Neurospora crassa OR74A: one gene and its partner. The protein of the gene in region 1 purifies or fractionates together with the protein of each later gene. This does not show direct contact. Links are inferred from orthologs where the notes say so. Each region holds a gene or a part of one and is shown on either strand. Other genes may lie near its edges.

Evidence for each region.
Region 2: the proteins of NCU07658 (region 1) and NCU03947 purify together in Saccharomyces cerevisiae (affinity purification with mass spectrometry; 3 studies listed by BioGRID, with this or other methods). This does not show direct contact. The link is inferred for Neurospora crassa OR74A from reciprocal best matches to the Saccharomyces cerevisiae genes SEC7 and RSP5.

The regions. Positions count from the first base shown.
Region 1 is NC_026504.1:422,147-432,074, forward strand, and holds NCU07658 (protein transporter sec72), read right to left. Parts: upstream 9,061-9,928; 5' UTR 8,298-9,060; coding exon 7,011-8,297; intron 6,952-7,010; coding exon 2,416-6,951; 3' UTR 2,244-2,415; downstream 1-2,243. Other genes in the region: NCU07657 (hypothetical protein), read left to right, coding at 113-251, 330-1,534. UniProt on the Saccharomyces cerevisiae protein: Guanine exchange factor that acts as an activator of ARF1 at the trans-Golgi network and is thus involved in vesicular budding and traffic between compartments of the Golgi apparatus.
Region 2 is NC_026506.1:2,202,043-2,211,919, reverse strand, and holds NCU03947 (ubiquitin ligase), read right to left. Parts: upstream 4,847-9,877; 5' UTR 4,012-4,846; coding exon 3,980-4,011; intron 3,864-3,979; coding exon 3,841-3,863; intron 3,777-3,840; coding exon 3,738-3,776; intron 3,656-3,737; coding exon 3,550-3,655; intron 3,490-3,549; coding exon 3,356-3,489; intron 3,280-3,355; coding exon 1,260-3,279; intron 1,186-1,259; coding exon 1,086-1,185; 3' UTR 702-1,085; downstream 1-701. Other genes in the region: NCU03948 (amidohydrolase 3), read right to left, coding at 1-96; NCU03946 (polyadenylate-binding protein 2), read right to left, coding at 7,046-7,310, 7,383-7,639, 7,732-7,857. UniProt on the Saccharomyces cerevisiae protein: E3 ubiquitin-protein ligase which accepts ubiquitin from an E2 ubiquitin-conjugating enzyme in the form of a thioester and then directly transfers the ubiquitin to targeted substrates.

The DNA of each region.
Region 1 (9,928 bases):
TTTGCCATCATCATCATCACCACCCTCGCTGCCGTCGCCGATTCTTTGACCATATCCGAGCTATATCGAAGGCGAACATCGAGATTGTAGAAAACGAAGAACACAACGAGTTATGCCAACAGACACCATGGACAACAACATCCCCATCACTGGTCTCGATGACCTCACGGCGCACATGGACGCTCTCATCGCCGACCCTTCCACTCCCCTCGAAGCCAAGCTGTTCGACGACATCGAGCTCCAGCTTACGGGTATGTGCCTGCCACTCTTCTCTTCCCTACTCTGCCTCCTAGAAACACGTCCAGTAAACTAACTTCTACTTTCAACAGACTCCAACACCCCTCCCCTCCTCACCACCCTCCTCCCCCGCCTCGTCCAAATCCTACACACCACCCCCTCCGACCCAACCACGCCCGCCTCGTTAACGACCAAACTCCTCCGCCCTCTCTCCTTCAGCCAAATCACCTCCCTCGCGCCTCCCGAATCCCTAATCCAAGCGCTCGAATCACCCTTTCCCGCAGCCAACATCCTCGCCATGACAATACTCCACAAAGCCGCTGCCGCTCCAGCCGAGGTAGCCCAGCTAGCAGACATGCAAGAAGTCGTCCATTCCTTCGTCAGAACCTGGCTAGGCAGCAGCGAAGTAGGCGTCGGAGAAAAAGGCGGGCGAGTCATCGGTGACCTATTGGACGTCGACTGCGAATTCGACCCTCCGGCACGACCACAACGACAACAACAACAACAACAACAACAACAACAACATCCGCTCGATGCCGGGATGCCTACATGGCATGATATGGTCTTACGAAAGGAAAAAGGGTCAGGGGCGTTGTGGCGACGAGTATTTGCCGACCAACAAGTCTACAGCCTGATTCTGGATTTACTAGCGGGTCGACATGAAGATACGAATATCACTTCTACTTCCGACGTAGAGGAAAAGAAGAAGAAAGGCAGACAATTGACCCTTGCACAAGGGAGGATACTGAGGATTTTACCGAGACTGGCGGCCCTGGATCTGAACAAGGTAGCTCGGAGCGAAGTGGCGGCACCAACACCGGGATACTACCTTTATGCTACGGCGAGAACAACAACAAACGGTCACAACACATCTCGTCCAAACGGGAGGACAACAAACTACAACAGCGACATCCTCACCAACGGCGTCGGAGTCGAACAAGAAGAGGAAGAAGAAGAAGCAACGCAAATGCCCCTCCCGGCACCACCAAAACAGGGACAAGGCCTGCTTCACTTTGCTGCCCTCCGCATGGTCGATCGCAATGATGTGCTTATGCATTTATCCCTGATTGACTTCTTTGAGGCCTTTGTCGGGTTGATGCGCGTGACGCCCCATTCCGAGGACAAGGTGAATATCGTCAAGGAGATTGTGAGAGAGGCGGTGGCGGATGATGAGTTGCTGAGGGAGAGCTTGGAGGGGTTACCGGATAGGACGGTGGATGAGGAAAGGGATGAGTTGAGGGGATGGGTGAGGGAGGTGATGCCTCCGAGGGAGGAGATAGATGTGGTTATGAGGTAGTGATCGAAACGGAGGCCGGTGTAGGAGAATGGGAGGATGGGTAGGTTACGAACTGGTTACGAGCTGGTTAGGCATGGAAAGGATGATCTGGAGAGGAGAGCTGATAATGGGTTGTCGGTAATGGGCTGGATGAAGCGAAAGGCAAAGGCAAAGGCAAAGGGAATTGCAGCTTTGGTGCTCGGGTACCGTACCTTTCTAATATTAAGTCGATCTAATATTTAAGTACTCGCATCACAGAGAAACTTGATTAATGGCCCATTATGCACGGTACGATCATCATCATTAGAGGAGCAAGCAGTAAGTATTTGATTTCTTTTTCTTCTTCTTCTTCTTCTTCTTCTTCTTCTTCTTCTTCTTCTTCTTCTTCTTCTTCTTCTTCTTCTTCTTCTTCTTCTTCTTCTTCTTCTTCTTCTTCTTCTTCTTCTTCTTCTTCTTCTTCTTCTTCTTCTTCTTCTTCTTCTTAGACAACACAACACAACACAGCACAACACAACAGCTACATACCGTACACACAATGTTTCGGTTGATAAAGCAGAACCATACCTAGTCTGCCAGATAACTAAGCAGTTGAAAAAAAAAACAAAAAAAAAAATAATTAGTTAAAGACGCACATTTTCCTTTCCATGCCAAAACCAAAGCCAGACCTGAACAAAACTGTGTTTACAAGAACTACGTTGCACTGTGTTAGTAGTTATTGTACGCGCATTACCGAAAATATATGTAAATATATATATATATATATATAAGAAACAGAAATAGGATCCCGTTTTGCTCTACCCTTTCCATTACCCCCATCCATCCCTACACTACACTACACTACACTACACTACACTATCTATATCCTCGCCTTGGTATCTTCTTCTTCCGTCATCTTCCTTCCTCTACCTCGCCATATCCTCCCCTTCTCCCTCCCCTTCTCTTTCTCCCTCCCTCTCCCTTTCCCTCTCCCGATAACCACCACCACCACCACCACCACCAATCGTCCCCACAGTCATAGTACTAACCACACTCTCCGTCCTATCATGCCCATAGGCCATCCTCCCATTACCACTCATCACCAACGTATCCTGTCGCCTGTGATTCGACGACAACCTCCCCGTAGAGTTAGAGTTAGAGTTGGAGCTACCAACCAACCCCTCAATCCCCAACCCCACCTCTCCCACCCGTCTCAACACCCCCAGCAACGCCTGCCTCAGTTCCCTCTCGCCTTGCCCCAACTCCTTCCCCAGCAACTCAATCACCACAGGGTACACCTCATGCAAATGTTTCTTGAAGTCTTCTTCTCCGAACCCTCTGCCTTCCTTCATCTCGCCCTTTTCGGGGTTACTAACGCCCCCGGCAAACCCATTCAACACCTCCACCACCACGGGCCTCCACGCCTGGATATTCCTATTCTGACTTTCTTCTTCCAGCGAGACATACACGCGGACAATGTCCAGACATAAAGGGACCAAAGCCCGTTCGACATCGGCCTTGGACGCGAGACGCTCGGGAGAGGTGTCGGCGAACATCCTGAATAGGATCGAAACATAGACAGCGGCGCTGCCTGATTCCTGTTTGAGCAGGTTCGGCGGCTGTTTCATGAATCCCTCGCGCCAGAGACGCATGCGCAAGTCTTTGTCGGCGTTGAAGCGCTTGGCGAACAGGTAGGAGCGCTTCAAAAGGGACATGAGTTTCAAGAGCAGCGGGGAGGGGATGTGGCTGTAGACCGAGTCGTTGGAGAAGAGCTCTTGGACGGTCTCGATCATGAGCAGTTGCAGGACGCAGCGGCTGATGATGCGGTTGAAGAAGCGGCGGCGGGCGGCGGTCACGACGGGCGGTTGTTGTTGAAGGGTGGTGGATGGCTTGAATTCCTCGAGACCCTGGCCGCCGGGGGTGTTGGGTGGGTGCGAGGAAAGCGCGGTGGAAGCCGTGAGACGGTTGTGAACTGAGGAATGGGAGTCCTCTTCGGGGTTGATACCGCCGTTGGTGTGGGGCGTTTGGTGGATGGAGGAAGTTTCGGAGCCGGCGTCGTTGTCGCCGTTGATCTTGAGGGAGCGGGTGTCGGCGTCGGCACCGTCGGCGGAGGGACTGAGTTGGCTGGCGTAGTCGAGGCCGTTGGACGCTGACAAGGGGGTGGAAATGGTGGCCGCTTTGAAGAGCTGGTGCGCGGTGGTCTTGTCGAATAACTCGCAGAAGGTGTCGACGATCTTTTGCCAGTGTTCGTGGGTGAACTTTTCGACATTTTGCAGGATCAAGGTCTGCAGGCAGTTGCTGCCGATGCGAGCAATGGTGTCGTTTTCTTGAAGGATGCAGAGCGCCAGCAGTTCGAGGAACCGGTCGAGCATGTACTCCAATGGGTTGAAGTAGTGCGTGAACAGAGTGATCATGTTGCGCAGGGCTTGGATCATGGTAGTGGACAACCAAACCGACAACTCCTCGTGGCTAAGAGCATTGGACATTTCGGGCTTCGACCGTAGCACCATGAAGATGGGATACAACTGCTGCCTCCACAAGATATCCCAGAACCCAAGCGGGAATGTGGCTCCATACTTGAGCAGGGCATCAAAGAAGTAGTTGAGGGCGTTCGACCGTACTTCCAAATCCTCGCCGGTCATGAGAACGTCATGGAAGGCGAACAGAACAGGGAACCAGAAACCCTCCTCCACCGTTGTGCCCGTTTCTTGACCAGTCGGCTTGGTGGCAGCGTTGAGAGCCATCTCGGCAGAGTTTACTTCCGAGTTCTGCTTATGCGACAGCGGACACTCGGGTGTCTTGAGCATCTTGGGAATGATGCTCTTGAGCGTCTCCATCGCCTGCAGACTCTTCTTCTGGAACTTCATGTTCTTGGAAAACTCGGTCAAGCAGACGATCAAATCGGTAAACGCGCCCTGGGTGATGACCACGCCGAAGCGCGTCTTGTACACATGCAGAACGTGCTCATAAGCCAGGTTGACGATGCTCTCGTACTGGTCCTTGGCGGCCACGGTAAAGACGCCAAACATGGTCCTCCAGCCGGAACGGATCTTGTCTCCCTTGGCCTGGATCATCTGAATCAGACATCTCAAAATCATATCCTTGACAGTAATGTTGTTCGAGTTGGACATGACATGCTCAAACGGCTTGAGAAAGTCCTTCTGGAACTTGAAACCCGCCAACTCCTCAATCTCCATAAAGCGCGTAGACAGCTGACGCAGCGAGTCCAGAGCAAAGAACACGATAGCGGCATTGACGTGGCACCCGACCCGGTTGAAGTGCTCACCCAACACATCCCAGATGTTGGTCCACTCGAACCTCACACGCGTCATGTTGTAGTACGAAATCTCGACAATCTTCTGCAGACTGTAAGTGCGCGGCGAGTCGTTCGACCCGGACACCTTGATCTCATCCCAGCTGACTTCGGTCAAGGCACGGGCAAAGTGAACAATGGCCTCGCCGCTGAGGTGGGCGGTGTTGGTGAAGATGCGGTCGACGCTCTTAATGACTTCGTCCGAACGGCTTTCGAGGGCAATTTCCATTGAGACGCCCTGAGGGCCCGTGTTTGATCGTGGGCGATGTCGCTTGGCAGCCATAGACTTGCGGGAGTCCGTCGAGTCGCTTCTTGGTGGAGGAACGAAACGGGCCTTGGAGACGTCGGGGACGGCACTCTCGTCGACACCACCCGAGATGAGCTGGAGACGATCAAGCTGGCTGATACAAAGGAGAACATCCTTCCACGACTCCTTGAGGAGGTTGCCTTCTGTCTGTCCAAGCTCAAGAATCACCTTGAGGGCCTCGACGTTCTTAGCTTGAATCTCCTGGGGGTTGTTGAGATTGGCCGTGTTCTTGAGCGCCGAGATAAAGGCTTCTCTAGGAGTGCTGAGATCAAAGAAGCAAGCAATCTTGGTCGCAAGCTTCATACCCTCCAGACACAGCTTGTTCACATCCAGGTTATGTGTCTTTTGCATCTGGCTGGACAGGGCCGAGAAGAAGGACATCCACGTCACATCAAACATGGGCGATACATGCTTGAACGAGGTAGCGGGGATGAACTTGATGCCGCCCATCTTTTGCGCATTCTTCCGTTGACTACGGTACAAGTCCTTGAAGAGCTGCTCCGACCGAATGGCGATTTCTTCAGACTGTTGAGCATATGCCTCCCTCTGCAGGTCACGACCGACGTTGGAAAAGGCCTGGCCAAGTCCAGCAGCCAGACCGGTTGACTGTGCTGGAAGCGTTCCCGCCGCAGCCGCCGCTTCCCGCTCACTCTTGAGGACAATCTCGTTGTTGGCAATATCGTCGTAGATGCTGATGAGGTACTCGTCCGGAAGGTTGGCGTTATCGTTGATACCGCGGTTGTTCTTGATAAAGTCCTCCTTGGTCATGCGCCTGACAATCTTGCTGCTGTGGAGATCCGTGTTCAGCATGATGACGGAGTACGCCAGCACATAAGGGGTATCAGCATTGGCAAAGGCCTTGGGGTTTCCCAGCATGTATCGGTTGGCGAACTTGAGCATGAAACGATCAATCTTTTGGGCCTCACCGGGCAAGCGGAAAGCCTGAAGAAACTGGCGCAAGGCATCCACGAAGCGCTTCTTGGTGAAGTCCATGGTGTCGACGAAAGCGTGCATGATGTCAATGTTCTTCTGATCACCCTCACCGAGGTATTCGCCGATCTGGGCCTTGTCCAGCCTCTCCTCGCTGATCAAGAACTTGGCAATGGCGTCGGGCGTGTCTTCGGGGATAAAGCCTTCCTTCAACAACAATTTGATGCCGTTCTTGGGCTTGTAGTTGAACACGCGGATAGCGTTTCCGAGAGCCGTCTTCCTCTGCTTTTCCTTTTCCAGCTGGTCGGGGTCATCGTCAAGCAGCGGTGTCGATGGCATGGTCGGGGTGTCTAAACGGGATAGGGACTCGCCCATGATCGAAGGGTCCATGGATTCCCGGATCTCATCGCTTGACGGCCGTCTTTCGGAAATGCCCGTTCCCGTGGTGATGACCTCTGGGCGCCCTGGATGGGACCAGTTGAGAAGCGACCTAAGCGACTCAACAAGGGAATCCAGAGCTTGCCTCTTTAGAACATAGTCCTTGGGGATATCGCCATCGGTGTCGGTATTTTGGGCTATCAGGGCAACGGTAAGTGGTGGTGGCAAAACGTTGCGCATCTGCCACTCGCTGGCTGACCCATACTTGGCATGGTTTTCCTCGTACTGCTGTTCTTGTAGTGCCGTGACGGTCGTAGACGACGTCGCAAACTTGGACAAGTCCTCGACGATGCGCTGGAAAATATTGTCGACATTTCGGTCGCAATCGTAATTAAGGTAGAACTCGACCAATGCCCGGGGATCCTCACATAGCCTCTTGAGGATACTGACAAAGGCGAGCTTCTGGGACAAGGGGGCGGTCCTCCGCGCCAAAAGGGCTAGGTAGATTTCGTTCAAGAAGACCTCGATTTCTTTCTGTTGGCGTGTTAGCACATGTCCTCCCTGTTCCTACCAAAGCACAGCACACGACAAACCTTGAATGGAGCCCTCATGTACTTGAGCATTAGCCAAAAGATCTCACAGCAAATATTAAATACTCTATCGACCGAGCTAGCCCCGTTCCGTGTGATACTCAAACACAGATAGTACTTTGTGGCCTGCAAAAAGCTGGTGGGCTCGTTGTTCTTGGTATTGGTGATGGTACAGTAGGGCGAAGTGAAAACAGAAATGTTGTTGTTGAGAAGGGTGTGGATGAGGTGGAGGGAGATGAGCTTGGACCGCATGGGCTGGCCGCGGAGGTCGTAGAGCTGGTCGGGCGGCAGGATCTTGGTCGAGAGGTTGCAGAAGGAGCGGAAGACGAGGTAGGCGTCGCGGATGTACACTTCGTCCTCGGCGTCCAACGACTCGGGGCTGTCCTCCTGGGCGCTCTCGGGCACGCTCTGTTCCGACACGGACCTCGCAGGCTTCCTGTTGGGTTTTAGCTGGGTGACCATGGTAGGGCCATCTCCGAGATTGGAGTCGTCGAAGCTCTTGCGGTGCTCGAGGTCCTTGAGGGTGAGCTTGGGGCCGTCGCCGTTGCCATCCCCATCTTGTAATTGCGATTCGGACGCATCTTCGGGGACGTTCTCGTCATCGTCTCCGTTGGCCTCCTCTTGTGTGGAATTTTGACCGTCGGATGAGCCGTTGACGTTGAAACTGCTCTGGCTCCGCTTCAGCTTGCTCAGATTGGCGCGGGCCTCCCTCATGTGCAGCCTGGCGCTGACTCTCTCGAACACGGTTCCGACCATTTGTGTGAGGGTCCCCTGGGCGACCTGCTGGTTGGCCGTACTCCTGGAAAGGAGGAAGATGTTGTAAACCTGGCGCACAGCCTTGAGCAGGCCGGCGCCGTGGACGACAATCTTGTCATTGAGGACGGCGGCCAAGAGGGACTTGACAATCTGTAGCTGGATCTCGACCAGGGTGGCCTCGCCCTGGAAGCAGTCGCAGATGGTGTCGATGGCGCGTTCGATTAGGGGCAGGTATTGCTGCTGTTGTGGTTGGCCATCCTCGCTCGCCGCCGCGGACCGGCCGGAAGGGACGGAGAAGTAGGTGGAGGAGATGAGCTTGCCGATGCAGTCGAGGGCGGTTGTAGTCAAGGGGATGGTGCCGGACTTGGTGGCTAGTCGGAGGGGGGCGAAGATGACCTCGGGGTCGGGGAGCTGCTGGTCGTTTGTCTTGATGGCTTCCTGGGCCTTTTGCGCCAATTCGGCCAGCTCCTTATTCTTGCCGGCATTGGCGGCAATGACGTCTAGAGAGGACGTCACGAACTTGAGGGAACTCATGGTTGGAGGTGGTGGCCGAGGGCGGGACAGATGGCCATTCGTCGTCGTGGTGCTTCAGCGCATCTGACGGGGGGGCTGTTGTTGACTTCTTGATGTCGAGGACAGGGGAGAGTGTAGTATAAGCGGCGGAGGGAGGGGCTTCAGTTCTTCCTCTTGAGTCGTGTAGCGTGTTATGTTGATCGAAACGGAATGGGAGCTGCTGAATAATAATGGCAGCAAAGAGGTAAGCTTCCTTTGTTCGTCTATTTCCAATATATCCGTCACCCCAGCTGCTTGGTATTAGGTGTAGGTGTAGGTGTAGGTGTAGATGTCGCGTATGTGTTATGTGGCTAACTGTTCACAGCTCTTGGTATTTCGTCAGGGTGCAGCAATGGATGGATGGCTTCTCGATTCGATGTTGTCGAGTTCGGGGTTCCGTTCGTCTTCTGGAACAATCAAAGATAATCTGGGGCTTGTATGGAGATCGCCAGTTTCAGACTTGGTGCTCGGTAGAGACGACAATGGATGCTGCCCTGGTCCCCCTCGTACACTACCTATGGTACCCGGACTTGCTGTCTTTCGCCAATCTGGACTTGCACTTTTGAAAATGGACGGGATGAAGGCCGAGTCCGTGCCTCGTGTCCTGGGCGGGCTGAGTAAGGTAACCTAGAGGTATGTAGGTCCCGTCCGAGTCGGCGGGCGAGCGGTTGCTACGGTGGCTCGGTAGGTGGTCAGGTCCCTCTCTCCCTCCCCTCTGAATCTCATTCCCCAGTGTTGTCGTCATGTTTTGGCCAATCACGATGCAACATGGAGGCTACTTACCTAGGTCTAGCATGGGATTGCGACAACTCAGCGGCGCGCGGCCTGTGACTGCTGACTTGCCGACCGAAACAGTGGAAGTTGACAGCAAGCCTTCAATTGAAGAGTGGGTCCATCAAGACCCTGATGGCTGCAGTGAGTGTCGCGGGCACGGACCATTCCCGACCCTTCCACTTCCCTTCCTCTTCCATCAGGTACCTACACGTACCTACGTACCTCTCACTTTATCTCCGTACGTATCAATCTATCTGCCAGCCGCTTTGCCTGCCGGAACTGCAGCCGTGGATACTCTTTTTGACGCATGGGTCAGTAATTGGTCTGTTCATTGGTAGCCCGCCGCCGGCGTCAGCTTTTGAAGAATCCGATGATAGCCATTCAATCCCGTCTTCCATTGTAGATATGGATCCCATCTCTTTTGCGTATCAGTTGTCTTTGGACATATTGGACACCGGTGATCCATGACACGGCGTATTTCACATCCATCGGAGGGAAGCCAAACTGTAACTTGTGTTACTACCATAGGCTTGGAGTCTTGATGGTATGAATACCTCGTGGGAAGTTTAATCAATAACCAAGTCGTGTGCCTTTTCAGCTTCTACAACACGATCTCAGGGCAACTCGGATACGAAGCTCTTCAGAGGTTGGGAATATGACTGATGACGAGAGACCGTTGTTAGCTGCTCCTGATTGCTTGTACATACGAAAACTGAAATGTCATCACCAGTCCAATTTTGTCATTATATGCCATTCTGCAGCATCTCTCATGGATCGGGTCCCTTAGTTTGACATCACTGACACTGCAGAGTCCAATCCTCTTGGAGTTGACGGTTTCC
Region 2 (9,877 bases), on another chromosome or scaffold:
GTTGAGGTGGATGAGGAAGGCGATGGCTAAGGCGCCGAGCGAGAGGCGGGGAGCCCAGTAGAGGACTCCTGGGGAGCGGGGGGCTGGTGGCGCCATTTGCTCTTGGTGCTTTGGTGATAGTGACCACCTCGCGCAGTCTTTTTGCGGCGAGTGTTGGCAACGGAGAAACTGATGTGATGAATAGAAGTGGTTCCCCTCAAATGAGCGTCGGAATTACACAAAATGTGCCGAACAGATTTGTCAAAAAGTTCGGAGAGACAAGAGGAATGTTTGCCCCGATGTCACTGTCATGCATCCAGATTTCCCGGTTATCTGCCGTGCGATAATGCAGGAACCCCCACGCCGGCCGCGAATATCAACCGGCGTACCGGAGCCGCAACGTCTTCCGAAGTGCTCGGCCAAGTCTGACCGGGATCTCGATCCATCAAGTGAACTTCCAGGCAAGTCAAGCGTCAAGGAGCGGATATAATTGACAGAACCATAACTTATACAGCCAGGATGCTCTACAATATCGATTGCTTAGTGTAGACTTACATAGCAAGTACCGGTATCCCTACGGGATGACGCACATTGTATGGGTCCCTTAGTGGAACATGATAGTATGTCTATTACGCAGTAAACTTACAACCCATCTCCTGGTTCCTGAATTACAAACATAAACCACACGCCCTCCTCTTTGTCTCCAGGGTAATCGTTGTATGCACAAACTTGGCATTGCCTAATTCCATAACACCACATTTGAACGTATACCAGTAGCAGGATGCTGAAGCTCACTACTTGAAGGATCAATAACAAGCAAACAATCCATTTATATACAGCTCTTGTGCACCGGGGAGGGGCGAGGTAACAGTAGTAATCTCCGGTGCCAATGAACTTCGCCCCAAAAAAGAAACCAAAACGGGTCGGACAATAAATTGATGAGAAAAAAAAAAGCTTGATGCTATCATAAATTCGACGCATGCCACCCAATACTCGTGTAGCAGTACCGTTCTTTCCTTCATGCAGCCATCGCAGCCATACCACCATATCCCATATCACCATATTCGTCCCTCTGTCCATGATTCATCGCCCCTGTTTTTGTCCTTTTATTCTTGTCCGAAACCCATAGTCTCCTCCACAGCAATCGTAAGCTTTTGCTGCAGCATCTCCAGAGACTTGTACGGTGGCAGATCCAACCGGTTGAAACTGCACAAAAAAAAAAAAAAAAAACCTGTTAGCAAAAGTCCTCACCACGTCTTCACCTCCATATTCATACGTACCATGTATGCGCCTTGGGAAGATTCGTAATCTCTCCTGCCTTCTCAATCGTAAATCTACGAGGACCATCACTACCCTGGAGATCCTTGAATCCGTTGACTGGGATACGGGATGTGCCGGTCGTGAACTGGAGCAATCTCGACTTTTGCTCGCCATCCCACGACCGAACAGTCTGCCAGAAGAACTGGATAACCTCGTCTGACTCGGTATAACCACGGTAATCCGTGTGCTTCTTCCAGTCGTCGACATCGATCTCGGCAATACCACCAATCAACAGCTCAAGCTCGCGCTCATCAAACACGTTGATCAGATCCTGCGGGATAAGCTCATGGAAGCCATCCTTGAACGCCCGGAACTGTTGCTCAATGCGCTTTTCGATCCTCCACTTCACCATCAATTCGACATACTCCTTCTTGTTCTCGTTTGTGACCGCAATGTTCCTACCATTGGGGATTAGATCCTCCTCCGTGATTACGCCGAACCGCTCGTCTTCAGTAGAGAAGGTTGCGTCAAGAACGTCGGTGATGTCGTTATCCAGCATCCACTGCAGAGACCGATGGAAATCGGCATCCACACCCTCCATATCCGCCAAGCTGACAGCCTTTCCGAGAACCATCTTGTACAGAGCGCCAATGAAGAAGGCATCCAGGAATCGCCTGTGGAAAATAGCCAGACCCACGACCCGGCCAATGAACTTGAAATAGTTGAGATGCTCAGGGTTGATACCCGAGTGGGGGTTGATCTGGAGGGTGTAGTTATCGTGGGCCGAATACTCGAACAAGCAGTAGAATGGATTGAACATTTCGTGAGAAAGGAGGAAGAAGAACTCGCGCGACAGACCGCCGTAATCGAGGCCGTCCTCGCCGTCGAACTTGATCATCAATCGTTTCTTCAGGTCCGTCGCCGATTGCCTCGAAATCTCCGCAAACGAATCCTCGAAAATGTGCGATCTCCTGACCTTGATGTGACACTGTCCGGACATGATCCGCATAGCAGGCTGCGAACGGAAATAGATGAGCTTCCTCCTGAAGTCTCTCTTGTACTGCGGTACGTTCTGGTCGAGCGACGAAGGCAGACGAGGATCATCCCAGGTCGTTGTCTTGGTATTGTGATCCACGAAGTAGACGCGAGCCGTGTTGGTGAGCCGCATCTCCCAACCACTAGGCAGGGGACCGAGCTGGGACACCGGCTGTTGTTGAATGGTCCCGTTCGTGTTGTTCTGGCCACCGTACATGCGAATGTACTGCTGGCGTCGAGGGTCGACCCAGGTAGTAGTGCGCGTGTTGTGGTCGACAAAGTACGGCCTTCCTTCTGGGGTAAACCTCTGCTCCCAACCAGCAGGTAATTCACCGGTTCCGGGGGTTGTCGCCCCGGTATGCATCATAGTGGCAGCATTGGCGGTGGCGGCAGCTTGCTGCTGCTGTAGGGTGGGGGAATTGGCGCCAGTGCGGTCCTCGGGAAGTGTTCTGTTCTGATGCCGTTGACGCTCGACTTGAGTATTGGCTTCGGCGGTACGGTTTTCGGCCGCCCCTGTGCCAGTTGGCCGATTCCAGCTCGTGGTCCGTGAATTATGATCAACATAATATGTCCTCCCCAAATGATCCTCGCGACGTTCCCAGCCAGCTGGCAATCTTCCCATTGAATCTTCGAAGGGGCTAAGCGTGCTATGGTGCCTGGCTTGCGCCGGAACGAGGGTCGACGGGTTCGTTGGGGCTGTTCCATTTGTCCCGGGGGTCGGGGCTGTCGACGACGACGAAACAGCCAGGCTGGCGGGTCGGCTTGCCAAAGTCATGTTATTGGCGGTTCCATTAGGTCCGGACATGGCTGATGAAGGACGTTCGTTCGCTCTGTCGTTAGAAATAACCGAACTTTGAGGGGTGAGTAGTGATGGTCTGCTCGAAGATGGAGGGGGACCGAGGCGACTCATAGTTGCTGTGAGGTTAGTAGATAGGTTTATGATCAGTTTGCCGTGCACCACAAGGTTGTCGGTCGATTTCTTAAGGTCCCGCGTGAGCATCTGATCTGTGGGTGTGGTGCATGTCAGTCCCAAATCGCGCTGTCAACCTGCAAACACATGTGAATTGCAGTGAAACCTTACCTTCCGCATCGGGAGCCAATTCTATTACGTCCCCTATCCGGACATTGATGACACCGAGGAAACCTTGGTCCTTCTTTTTGAACTTCTTTTGGTCGAACACCTGGACAGCCAGAATGCTGTCCTCATTCACTTTGCTACGTTGTATTAGCCAGCTGGCCCTTGGGCTGTCAAATCTGAGTTAAGGTCGAACCTACAAATCAAAGTGTTCGTTCCAGTATGGGTTTAGGGTACGCTTGGAGACCTGGGTGGTCTTTGTCTGCTCACCGTTAATGGTAGCGACGGCGAACGGGTCGGGAAACCCTATGATGATGATGCGGTTAGCATATGCCACCTGGAAGTGGCTTAGAAGATGCATGACACCTGGCCACGGGGAGAAACATACTGAAGACATCTCGCTTGTATAGACCATCGGCGGCGATGACTAGAGGGGCATGTTAGTACACCGGTTGGTCATCGGACACATTCGTCGCAAAGGGGCTGAGTACTTGTTACGCGGAGATTGGGCTGGCTTTAATCGTGGTGGTTGTTAGCTGGCTGTTCTCTCGCTTATAATCCGCGGTCCCTGAGGGCGACGCAAAGCAGACAAGATGGGTAGATGGAGAGTCCAGTCGTGGGAGAACTTACGCCGGCAGCCCCGAGTCCCGGCTGCTGGTCATTGTTGCAGATGGAGCGCGTCAACAAACTCGCACGCGGGGCTTTAAGTTTTCGTCTCGTTTCTTGGACCAAGCAGAGGCTGGTCGCAATCGGGTCGGGTAGTCGGTCGCTCTCGCTCGTTTGGGATCGAGGACTCGCGGCTGAATGCAGGCGGGGCGGGGATGAAAGGAGGACAAGTCGACGATGGTACAAGCAGGCTGAATGATTGTTACAAAAGGGCCAACTCTCCTTGCGATGGACACTGACGTTGACGAGAACGCGCAGTCACTGGCAACGGAATGGATGCGGCAGGGTGGATGAAATTCTGTAGGTGGCAGTAGGTGGTAGATGGAAGCTAGAGGGACTCTTGAGCGCCCGTAGGTGGTGAGGCTGTGCTGCTCTTGGTAACTCGTGCGTGTGTGGCCAGCCGGCCCCCCCGCTTTGGGTATCTTACGCTGTCAGGTAGTCACGGCGGCGGAAGGCGAACTGCAAGGAAAGGCCAAGCAATCCAAGAGGCCAAGGTTGGACGGCTGTGGCTTGGTAATACTAAGTAATCTCTGTACTAGCAAGGTCGGCAAGGCAGGTCTGATACTTAGGAAACCACTTCTGTGGATCAACCAGCAGGTAGTGTAAACTCGCTCGGATGTCTAGGTTCGTCTGGTAAGGGTACCTTTAGTTAGTAGTGTCGAGGTTGAATGCTGTCGTTGTTTTGTCGCGGTGAAGCTGCTGGAAGTGGCGGGTGGGTGAGCTTGGGTTCGACGGACCAACCCCAAGAAGGTCCAGGTGAAGAGCTCAATGACCTTCACTAAGTTGCAACCGACGGATGAGCCAAAGGATGGGAGGGAAAACGACCGAGAAACCTGGACGTCTTGCGATGTTGCAAAGGTGCAATGGTGCAACGACCCAAGCCAAGAAATTGACAGTCCAAGTTGGATCTAGCATTGGTGAAGAGACAGGGGGAGGTGACAAGACATAATGGTTCAACAGCATTAACGGGAAAGTATGGCTGGCCTAGCATGCTCTGTGCGAGAAGCTTAACTTTTCAGTTAGTAGCTCAGGTATCGCATTAACGAGTGACTACTTTTAGGCCAGGAACTAGTTAGCAGAAGCCTGCAAAGAGCGAGAACTGAAGCGGAAGGTGCGCACAGTGCGGTACTTGACTTCTTCTCTTAAGCAGTTGGTCGGGTCATTCGAGTCCCAGACTCCCAGGGGGCCACATTCACTCCATGCTTGGCACGGCATCCAGATCTCGAGATCAACATCAACAACATCATTGGCACACAAAGAGCAACCTTGGTGTACATGGATCACATAGTCCCGTGTCTTTTCTTAGGAGTTGATGCCCTGTCAGGAAAATATCCCATGGATCACGGCTCAGTCATCGACACAGAGAATTAGAATAGGTAGCTATGCTGGCCTGAATGCCTTTCCATGACTAGGGGTAGGAAAGCACCTCCACCGACCGCCCCAAGCTCCGAGGTCTCTCCAGGAAACGCCAAGATTGTAGTAGAAGCTGTCTGTTCCAAAAACTCTACACAAGAGGTAGCCCAACGATCGGGGATGATGATGATCTTGCGCAGATCTACCAGATATCAAGCCACTACCGAACTTTGAAGAAACCTCCAGAGGCAGTCAATTAGGAAAGTGAACACTTCAAACCTCAACCTTGACAATTCAACGCACAGCACCTCTACATCCCATAACGACGATACACCGCACGGGGTGCAAAAAGGCGTTAGGTCGCTACTTAGCGTATCCCAGTACATGTAGTGTACCCCCGTTGCCGCCGACCGAGACGCTGCTGTTCCAACAATAGCGCATCACCGACATAAACGCCCGTCATTTCCATTTTGATACCCCTCGCGTGCGACGGAACTGCGGGGCGTTACTGCATCTCTGGATTTTCAATTGAGGTTTCTTTTTTTGTTGAGGTGCTTTTGACGATGGGGAGTTCATGGAAGCATAGAGGTACCCATCATATGTACACTAGGTTTGTACACTACACTAGTGGCTGTCATCATTGAACGAAGCGAGACAGCAAATGTGGAGCGCCCTTTGTTCGACACTTCTAAAAAGTGGTAGAGGTAATGCGCAATCCGCGTATAGCTCTTCTACCTAGGTAAGTACTCACTCTACTATACCTCAAAAACCAGCCTCTTTGAATTTCACCACAACCGCCTTCGGTCTTGTCGGAGCAAAGATGTCTTGCGCAGGTGTCTGTTGAGTTGTCATTTGCATGCCCTTTGTATATTGGAGTCGTTCAATTTCGGTGGAAAATGTTGACATGGAGGTTCGCGGCGAAGGCGGCGGCACCTGGCATCTGACGATCCGTGGACTCTTTTTTTTCTCTTTCTTTGTTTTTAGTGTCGGAACAACAATAGCGGTGTGAATAAAGTATCATCGCTACGCTAATTCGAGCACATGTTCGCAGATTGAAGTGTCAAGTGATAGCTTCAATTGTTGCCAAAGCTAGTCATTATGTGGTGATGGCTAGCGGTAACAGACAGCCCATATTAAGCAACTTCGCTGATGATTCCCCTGAGCAGACATAGCCGTAGCAAATGTCGAACCGAAAAGTAGTAGGCGGCGCTTATGCCAAATATCAAATACAAAAATTGAACGTGACATGAATAAACGAAGAAGAAATAAAAGAGCATATGGAATTGGCGTTTTCCTTCGTTTTACCCTCCCACCCATTGACGCCTTGCCGATACGCGCAGCCAAAATGAAAACTTTGAAAATCCCATTGCTCCCATGGTGCAAAAACAGGCCAAGACAACGAACCCTTCCCTTCCTCCACCATTCAAGTGTCCTCCTCTTCCCTGCTGATATATCCTAATCTTACAGCCATCAAAGGGAGAAAAAAAAACGTTCCCATGAATCATGAGCAACACGTACACCGGGTTGCCTGATAGTGATACCAGCTCAGATGAGATCGAGCCCATCTTCACAATTCCAGGTAGTGTCTGCGGATGTCAGAGAGGGGCCGCATACGGCTCTGATTGTCCTGATGGATGCGGGATCATGTGCCGTATGTCAGACCACCACCAAAAAAAACTAGTAAGGAGCGTAGCCTCCTCGGCCGCGTCCACGGTAGCCGCCACGGTAGCCTCCCCTAGGAGGGAAACCGCCCCGTCCACCGAAATAGCCCCCGCGACCGCCTCCGCGGAAGGAACCTCGACCGCCGCGACCGCCGCGCGACATGCCGGGAATATTCGTGCGCTTGGGGACGACCTTGATGTTGCGGCCCTTGAAGACACTCTCGTTGAGAACAAGGGCTTGTGCGACCAGGCTAGGCTCGGTAAACTCGACATACGCGTAACTATTGGATAAATGACACCGTCAGTGTATGTACTTGAGGGTAATCAGCTGGGAAAGAAGAGGAGATGCGTACCCCTTGGGTTGACCGGTAAACTTGTCGAGGAGAATGGTGACACGGTTGATGGACCCGCAGCTCTGGAAGTGCGCCTGGATCTCCTCAGGCGAAGCCGAATAGTCGACGTTTCCGACAAAGATGCTCCGACTGTCGATATCCTCCTTGTTCTCGGTGAGCTCATGATGCTGTTGGTCCAGACTAGCTTGCATCTCGCGGAGTTTGGCAGCCTCCTCTTCCATCTCGGCGACACGGCGCTTCATGGCCGAGATCTCCTCCTGTTCACGATTACTTGGTGTTAGCGCCTGCACTCCGCGTGGAAGCAAACACGGTGGATCGTATCGCTGGGCTTGGGCCGGAGCTGGCGCACCTCATCATCGTTGACATCGTCTCCCGCGTTTTGCTGCTCTTGCTGCTGCTGCTGCTGCTGCTGCTCCTCCTGTTGCTCCTGAGCGGCCTCTTGGGGCTTCTCCCCCTCGTTCACCACAGACGACATGTTGCTGGTATGATTGATTGAAGAGCTGCTTGTCGCGATTGTGTCGCGTGCAATACGGTCAACTCCTGGTTGTGTAAAGGAACTGAAGTTGGCAGGTCAGTGAGAGAAACCTGAATGAGCGGGATCGAAAAGTGGTGGTTTGGGTCAGGCTGGCGCAACGGGCTGTGGGAGCGAGGCCAAGGTGGTCAGGTTGTTGGTCACCGATGCAATGGTGGAGGAAAAGGAATACAAAAGTGGGGAGGGGTCCGCTCCCGTGGACCTTCCAAAAGACGGGACCTGGCTGGAGCAAGGGATGGGGAGGGGACTGGACCAGGAACCTTGAAGCCCAACTCTTTAACTTACTTTTAGTTGAACGGGACAGCACCGCCTTTTTGTAGAGCCTTGAGAAGCTTGTTGCGAGAAAGAATGTGTTTGTTGCGTGGTGGGATGGGGCTGACGATGGCACAATCGGACTGAAAGACGGGGCCCTGGTCGACGCAAAGAAAGTCGTTTGGCCTTCTGCAGCTGTTCCGTCACGTCTTCTCCATGTGCGCTTTGATGGGGAAATTGGAATCGGGGGGTTCTCCAAAACCTTGGGCTGGGTGACGCCGAAGGAGGGTGGCGTGAGTGTAGTGACAAGCACTGCTTGGCTCCTAAGTAGATAGGGGGCACGTGCCACCCTGTTCGTGCCCTGAGCAGCGGGAGATAACGACCTGGGACTTTGGGAGGAACTTGGACTTGCACTGCGCAAGAACTTGTGAAAGGCTTCACGCGAGGTCATTGGGATCCTCAACGAACTTTCTGTATCAGATGCAGGTAGTTTAACCAGTACTTCTTTCATTACTTATCTGATTCGGCATTACCTTAGGACCCAACGCGAGCTACAAGTTTTCATTATCGGCAGGGAGAGTTTCGGAACTGATGATTTAAATGCGTGTTTGGTAGCTATCTGCCAGTCAACATCTTGGTTCAGGCATTACATGTACTGCCCGAGTTCTCTTCCCAGACTAACTGCCGTCAACGTCACTTACCTCAAACAGTCACATTGATGTATCGCCCCTCCATTATTGTATTTGATCCTTCGATTACCATTTTAGCAAGATATGACACTCCGAAGACCATCGTAATAACATACAGAGGATCGAAACTCAATTGTCATTCTCTCTCGGCATCTTCGTACCCACATTGAAGCCCTCGATACCCATCACTACCTTAGCTTCATAAGGTACAATATTCATCAAGCTCTTTACTAACGAAGGACCAGACGTAGAAGTCGGTTAAGTCAATTGTATCTTCATTAAGCGCCGGTCACCTGGTTGAAATGCTGTAAGCCAGGTCAAGGTTGCGTGGACGCTTGTCGAAGCCAGCGTCAGAATATGCCTCGGGCGAGGACATCATCAGGCGCGGGAGGGTTGACCGAATACTCTTCTCCTATTACTCGCATATTGATGGGGTCAACATAGCTTACTGTCCCTACTCCCAAGTGGGTGCGTCTCGTTGTAACAGCGAGCGCAGCAGAAACCGCGATACCAGTTAGGGCAGGCATTGTCTTCACGTTGCCTATCTCCAGCCATTCAGTACCAGAACATCTTCAACTTCGGAACGCCTCTGGCAAGATGGCCGGCGCTATCTTAGATATAGAGCGAACATATCCTAAGACTCAACGGGGTTAACTGGAGCTGGTGCGGCTGGCAAATATGACCAGTCAATTCGAATCCCCCTCGGGGTACATACAATTGGGATTCAGAGGGTTTAAGCAGGTTCTCTCCGTGGTCAAGCCGTCGATGGGCTAGAAAACCAGTGCCCGGTGCGCGGTGCTGGTGGTACAATTCTCAAAGCCGGCAGCTGGTCAGTTCGGACTTTGACTTGGGCGGTTGAGCTTTTTGTCCCTTATCCTCTTCTTCCAAACTTCTCCTCCGGCAGATTGACATGCTGGATCAAGCTCTTCTGTTCCCCGTTGAATGGCGGTTCTTTTTCAATGAAAATCAGATGTTCGGTCCCTTTGCATGCCTGCGCACCGGAAGGCTGATAGCTGTCGCCA